Linked DNA regions of Rattus norvegicus. The protein of the gene in region 2 interacts with the protein of the main gene of each other region in a pairwise test. Links are inferred from orthologs where the notes say so. Each region holds a gene or a part of one and is shown on either strand. Other genes may lie near its edges.

Region 1 (3,467 bases), on a different chromosome or scaffold from region 2:
TACATCAAAAACCTCTAAAAGCCAAACCAATCAGTGGGCAGGGTTCATCCCCAGACCCCTATCTAGAGACACACAGGAAAGTTAAAACGGGTGGGCGGATGGTCCCTGACTGGCATGAAGGTGTAAGGCTGTGCAGGTTTGCACTAAGGCTTCACCCAAGATGTAGTTCTGGGTCTTGCTAGATGGTGAGGCCTTGGGTGTGCTTTCAGCTCTTGCTCCTGTACCTACTTCCCAAGATGCAAATGGCAGAGACCGGAGTAAAACATCATGAAGATGACGTGGACCACGGGTGGGCAGCCAGTTCTTTGAAATCTAAAGGCCTTAACATCCACAGTGTCCTCTCACCCCTCTAGTCTGAGAGATGGTTTGGTCACCCTCCCTGGAGCCCTGTCCTGTGTCTTCTGGCATTGGGATGTTGACGTGTGTATGTGGTGGTGGAGTTCCTTTCTCTACTCCAGGTTGAGGAAAGGAGGCCAGGGAGTGGGGCCCAGGACGAGAGGAGACTTCACAAGTCTGATTCTAAGCCTTAAAAAGATTACACAGGACCTAAGGGTGTGTGTCCCTCCTGTGAGGCCTGATATAGTACTCTCTACTCCCAAACCCCTCCTGCCTCCCAGAACCTCAACAGGTAGCTTGGGCACGGGGCTGAGGAGCAGAGAGGCACATTCCTAGGTTTACCTGTGGGCCCCATTCGTTCCTTTTACCCTGTTGTCCCATTGCATGGATAAGGGCAGAGCTTAGAAAATAAACGCTTGTGGTTATTTACTGAGGGGCAGGGAGCAGTTATTTAGCACAGGGTTGGGGAAGGAGTAGAGGGGCTTGCTGGTCTAGTCACTATTGGAGCCAGTGCGAGCCCAGCGCAAGGTGAAGTGGTTCAGGTAGCGCATAGTTGAACGGATGCCTTCCATAGTGTGCCTCTCCACAGATTCCAGCAGGTGTGTGACAGAGCGCAGGACTGAGCTAGTTCCAGCCATCACCCCAGACGAGAAAGCTGACCTGGCACTGCGAAAGAGGCTGGCGACAGTGCGCAGTCGGGGACCCTCGTCTTGTAGCCTGTCAGCTGGAGAGCTGCGGCCTGAGGCCAGAATGCCCATAGCCACACCCATGCGTGTGGCTGTGTCTGACCACACCAGGATGTCTGTGAGGGAGCTGATGGAGCCCTCTCCTCCACACAGTAAGCTGGTCATAGAGCGCATGTAGTCATTCTCCACTTCAGGACCATACAGACTGGGGTCCAGACGGCTCCTTCCTAGGGACACCTGATAGGAATCTGGAGAGGGGGGTGGACTGTCTGCTGGGGAATTTGGAGAAGGTGGGGCCTGAGGGGTCCCTGAGTCCGCAGCTAAATCCTCACTGGTTGACTTCGGAGATCTAACTTTGCTCTCAGGGTTCAAGGCCTTGAAATCTTCAGCCTCCTGATCAGCAGACTTGGTGGGTTCTGGTTCAGGACCAGTGGTATCTGAAGGGGGTGGGTCAGTAGCTCCTGCAGAAGTCTGGACATCTTCAGGTAGGACAGATGGGACGTCAGCATTTGAAGCTATCTCCAGTTGCCCTTCCGAAACAGTTGACTTTCCTGATGTCTTTTCTTGGGTCTGGGAGTCACTTGGGGAAACCGTCCGGCTCCGACTTGTGCGGTTGTTTTCAGCCAGCCTGTCCCACACTGGGTTCTGGAAACCTACAAACATTTGCAGGATACCTGGGTCTTGGGGCAGCAGGGATGTGAGCTCTTCGAGATTCTCCTGGCTAGGATTTGGAGTACCTGGGATCTCTTCTTTGACCCCAGATGTTGATGTAGTCATGGAGGTGGCTGGCTCTGCATCTCGCCCTGTGGAGGTGTCCGTCTGCATGGAGGCCCGATCTTTATTCTGTCCCATAGAAGTGGCAATCTGCATGGAGGCCTGCTCTTCATCTTGCTCTGTGGCGATGATGTTTGCCTCAGAGGCCTGGTCTACATCCTCTTCAGCTCGTGCTTCCACGATGTCTTCTGGTGGGACTTCATCAGGTAGGGGATCCAGTCCTTCAGACGGTCCGGGTAAATCTTCAGAGTTTTCATCAGCTTTGTTGCCCAAGGAGGCCTCAGGAAGACCATGTACAAAATTGCTGTTGGCTTCAGGGTCTTCCAAGGGCTCAGTGGTCATCTATGCCCCCTGCTACTTATGGTGGTTGGGAAGGAGTGGCTTGCCTCTGCTAGGCTCAGTTGTCCAGGTGGTGAGGTCACAGGAGGTTGTGGGCAGCTGATGATGTCACAGGTACTTGTAGAGCAAGTCCACTTGAATGTCCTGAGTCTGCTGAGTGGCTGTCCTGGCGGGCTGAATGCAGGTGATGTTGCATAGCCAGAGCCGTAGGGACACAGGAAATGAAGGATCACCATCTCGGTTTAAGATGAAGATATGGAGGTGGGTGCAGATGCAGCCGCAGGGCTGTGAGAGCTTGTGGGAACTGTGCTTTGGGGCATGATAAAGGAAGGTGATGCTGAGTTTGAATGAGTGGGTTTTTAGTTTATTTTGGGAGTGGGGGATCAGTGTTCTTGTTATATAGTTCAGACTGATCTCCCACTCCGATGATCCTCCTGTCTTAGCCTCTCAAGAACTAGGATAACAGACACTTGATACACCAGGTTATTATCCCTCCCACCACCTCTCTCCTCATTGGTGCTTCAGGACCCCAGTTTAGTCAGTCTTTCTTTGGGAGCCATTTCTCTAGCAATGCAGGGGGATGGGGGGAGGATAGTGGAGGCCAGGGCCTGGGCGGCAAGCATCTAGGCTGGCTATCCTTAGAGCTAGAGTTAACCTTTTGGACACAGGACAATCCACCTCCTCACCTGGGCTGGGAGGACAGAGAGCTGCAAATGGGTGCAGACTTCCGGGTAATCTTAAGAAGGACTAGGGCCCCAGATAAACCCACTGTGCTAAGAAGGTAGCTGTGGATTGGGTTTGGCTGGCTGTAGAGCGCTTGCTGAGTATGCTGTTTCATCCACAGCTAGAGTGTGTGTTTGTGCTCACTCTGGTTGCCAGGTTAGGCGTAGTTGTGGTGGGTAAGAGGAGAAGCAGGCATCTGATGCCCCCAGGGACCCCAGCATCCCTAGGGAGAACTGGGTCTACTTTTATATCTTCTCTCCTGGGGGCAGGGGTGTGGTTCCGCGCCTGCTCTGCTGCTGGGCACGGCCTCTTGGGGAGGCAGAACTCTAGGAGTTTGACTGTGCTTATCCTATGCCACCATCGCCGGGGTGGGTGCCAGGCTGTAGGGAAGCTCCAAGACATTGCTCAGGGGATGGGAAAGCCGGAGCTGGGGGTGGGGGGGTGTCCCTGGACCTGTAATGAGCTGGGGTGGTGGAGTGGTGGTGGTGGTGGTTTCAGGTTTCAGACTCTTGGGCATTCAGGCACCACTGGGAGTCAAGGAAGAGCAGAGAATGGAGTGGGGGGGGGCAAGGGCTAGCCTGGGCCAAGAGAAAGGGGGAGCTCCAGCTT
Region 2 (3,595 bases):
AGGGGTGAAAGAAGGGAGGGGGGACTAGGTGTGTGGGGCTCACCTTATGGGACCCCGTCATCATGGCCCGCACAAAGGCCGTGGACTCGCTAGTACAGGAACGCACAGTCTCTGTCCGCCCCTCTCGGAACATTCTTGTCATGGAGGCCTCATAGGTCAGGCAGAACTTGCCTTTGTCCTGGGGTACACAGCGGGGTGAATCAAGCAGGCGGACCCCGAGGATGCCCTGCCCGCTCCGCAGCAGCCCTCAGAAGCTCCTACCCGGAAATGAGCCAGCTGCAGGGCAATCTGCACAAAGGCATCAGGGCTGGTCCGACACTTCTTGATCAGGCCTTTGCCGAAGGGTAAGAACTGGAAGCAGTATAACTCCACATCATCAGCCAGGGCCTTGGCTACTTGGTACGAATTCTCGATGGCTGTCTGGCACTGCCAAGACGTGGAATGGGGTCAGTTGAGGGCAAAGTCCTCAAAGGAGGCCTCTAGATCTAAGAAGGTGTAAGGTTCACGTAGTGATGGGAGGCGGGGTCAGCTCAATAGCATCGGGACACACAAATGACAGGTTGGGAGGATATGGCATGAGGCCACGCTGAGCCTGGTGGAGAGGGAGGTGCCATCTACCAGGCACTGTGAGCGACGGATCTCAGTCTTTCTCTAACCAGACAACCCTGGGGTCTCTGCTTTCCCTGTGTCCCACATGGCACCCCGAGAAGCTCTTGTCCCTTTGTCTTGAGGGTGGGACTTAAGCTGGCCATTTCTAGTCTGAATACCTGCTCGGGAATGTCCCACTGCATCCGCTGAGGCGGCGGCAACTTGGTGTTGGGTTCACCCACACAGTGTCCTGTCTCCGTGTAGCCCAGGTGAAAGGTATCAGTGGCCAGGACGAACTGCAGGGATAAAACCAAGCTTGGAAACAAGCCTCGTCACAGGTGCCTGCCCTGACAATGCCCTGTCCGCGACTTTACCTCCCAGAGGTGACCGATGATGGGAGCATCTGCCCATGAGTGTTCTGTGTTGAGGCCCAGCTGGCCATTCTTGCAGGAGATGAGAGTGAAAGATTTGTCGAACCACCTGCAGGAGTAGATCAGGATAGACCCAGAACTGGGTAATTAGCTCTCCAGCCCACTGCCCTAACCGTATACTGCTAACACTCATGATCCAATTCTAATTACTAACCCAGAACTTTAACCTCAACTTCTATTGTTCTTTAAATTTTATAAAATTACATGTGTCTTTGTGCGTGTGTGTGTGTGTGTGCGCGTGTGTGAAAATATGTACGTGTGTGTGCACACGCCTGCGTGGTGTCAAAGGACAAATTTGGGGTCCTGGTTCTCTCATCCCACCATTGGGGTTCCGGGGTTTGAACTCAGGTCATAGGGCTTAGCCACAGGTACCATTACTCACTGAGCAACCCCACTGGCCCTCTTAATCTCCATTCTTCGCCTTTTTAAAAGAAAGTTTATTTATTTTTATTTTATATGTCTTGGTGTTTTGCCTGCATGTGTGCCTATGGGAGGGCGTCAGATTTGGGGGTTGAAGAGCAGCCAGTGCTCTTAACCTACTGAGCCATCTCTCCAGTCCCACGCTCCCCATTCCTAATCTTCAACATCCGACCTTACCTGTAAATAATGCTATCTATCCATTAACACTGCACCTGACTTTTTACCTTAATCTTCTGACCCTAACCACTGGCCTATAATTGTCATCACTAAACTTGAACTTTAACCTCTGACCCATGAGCCTAGGGCGGCACGTACCTGTTATAGCAGTTGCCGTGCAGCAGGGATTTGCCGTAGAGGCTGAGACTGGCCTCGTCATCAGGGTTGTAACAGTGAGAGTCTTCGTCCAGGGCCACAAAGAAAGCAGCACGTTCGATGGTATCCAGGGACATCTTGTTCTTGCCAGAGCTAAAGAACTTCTGACGTGCTTCTGCCCACTCTACCCTGGGGATGCAAGGTCAGGGAAGCGGTGGAACTGATGTATGTATGTATATTTTAAAACCAGGGTACCTCAGGATCAGGCTGAATCCGGAGACGAGATGAGGAAGAGCCACTTGGGGATCCTGAAAGATGGCCTCTGTCCTTACCACCAGTGCCCTTCACTAGGTTTTATGTGCCTAGCCTCAGTTGCACCTCTGGCCCCCAGTTCTAGGATGGAGGTGGGACCAAGCATTTTTTTTTTTCTCATGAAGCCTTGAACCTGGGCCTGGACAAACCCTCCCTACAGACCCTGGGTACCTTCCTCCTGCGGTGAGGGCTGCCAGCTTTTCCTCTCCAGGCTGAGGCGGGGAGGTGTCATCGAGGATTCTCTGGAACTGCATCTCGAGGTCTCGGGGCTTGAGCAGGCACGAGCCCTCATAGAGCCAAACCTTGAAGAAGCGACCTTTGTGGTAGACAGCCACGTGCCTGCTCTCTGAGAGGTGCTGTAGCAAGTCTGTGACAGAAACCGGGAAGCAGCTGAGGCAGGGCCTCAGAAAATACCCAGTTCCCCTCTCCAGCCCAGAAAGGGGCTATCTCCCCCCAACACACAGTCCCTGTAGACCCTGATTTGCAGCACATCTGACCTGGGCATTCCTTTGTCTAAGCCAGTCAGTCCCTGTGCACTCCCGCCCCCTCCCCCACTCCCCAGTAAGTCTCTTTTGCCTCCTTTTAGGATCCATGAGGGATGGACTCTCTTCTCCTGAGTTCCACTACCCCGGCAGAGCTCATCTCATTTCTCTTTATTCATGACGACCTCCCTATGGAGACCCTAGAAGGACCCCTCAGGGGTCCCAGCATCTGCAATGTCTGTAAGTAACGACCACCTAGAATCTCTCTCGAACTGACTACACATTCATGGCCCTGAGACACTGGAGTGCTTAGAGACGAATAGTAGTTGGGCACTTAGCTGCCATGGCTATGACTTCCTTTTCATGGGTGCCAGGGATTTCTCTTCATGGGTGCCTGGTTGTAGCCCAGTACCTGTCTCTTTGCCTGGGATGCGTGTAGTGTTGAACATCCTCTCCATCTGGTAGGAGCACATGGGTACCATACCCAGTGCCATTACCTGGGAGGAAGGCCCAGCGTGGTTTAGATTCAGGCCTCTTCTCCTTACCCCGCCGCTTGACCCTGATGTAACTCACCGGCTTGATCTCTTCTCGGTCCAGTTTGCGGCGATACATGATCATGGCGTGAACGGTGTTTCCCAAACGTGCTGCTTGTTGGCTCGTGTTCTTAATAAGCACAAAATCCTATGGATGGAGCAGAGTCAGTAGGCTGGGTACCTCGGGCTGGGGCGGTCACCTGAGTCTCAATAGCCTAAGGGAACTTTTTCAGGAGCCCGAGGCATTGTACCCCCCGGTCTTTGTTCCATCCAACATCATGTCAGGGTGCTCTTCCAGAAACGTAAGCTAACAGGCTCCAGCTTCAACCAGAGCTATTCACCCCTCATTCATACTCTGCTTCAAAGAGGTTCTACCACGGAGCAACAATAACAAGAACAAATCTTTGGGCAGGATCCAAGCTGCTAGGAAGACAGTTCTTAGACGAGGGGAATTCCAGGAGGCTAGCAGGGTACACTTTGGACACTAGGAGAGATTGGGCGCCGGGCAGCAGGAAGA

The links.
Region 1: the proteins of Cpt1b (region 2) and Tex44 interact in binary tests that used the Homo sapiens proteins (3 or more experiments, as listed by UniProt). The two-hybrid records come from large-scale screens. The link is inferred for Rattus norvegicus from reciprocal best matches to the Homo sapiens genes CPT1B and TEX44.

What each region holds. Positions count from the first base shown.
Region 1 is NC_086027.1:94,522,348-94,525,814, reverse strand, and holds Tex44 (testis-expressed protein 44), read right to left. Parts: upstream 2,167-3,467; 5' UTR 2,139-2,166; coding exon 828-2,138; 3' UTR 748-827; downstream 1-747.
Region 2 is NC_086025.1:122,373,453-122,377,047, forward strand, and holds part of Cpt1b (carnitine O-palmitoyltransferase 1, muscle isoform), read right to left. Parts: intron 3,227-3,595; coding exon 3,119-3,226; intron 3,043-3,118; coding exon 2,958-3,042; intron 2,431-2,957; coding exon 2,235-2,430; intron 1,941-2,234; coding exon 1,755-1,940; intron 1,069-1,754; coding exon 963-1,068; intron 885-962; coding exon 768-884; intron 427-767; coding exon 262-426; intron 179-261; coding exon 44-178; intron 1-43. UniProt on the Homo sapiens protein: Catalyzes the transfer of the acyl group of long-chain fatty acid-CoA conjugates onto carnitine, an essential step for the mitochondrial uptake of long-chain fatty acids and their subsequent beta-oxidation in the mitochondrion.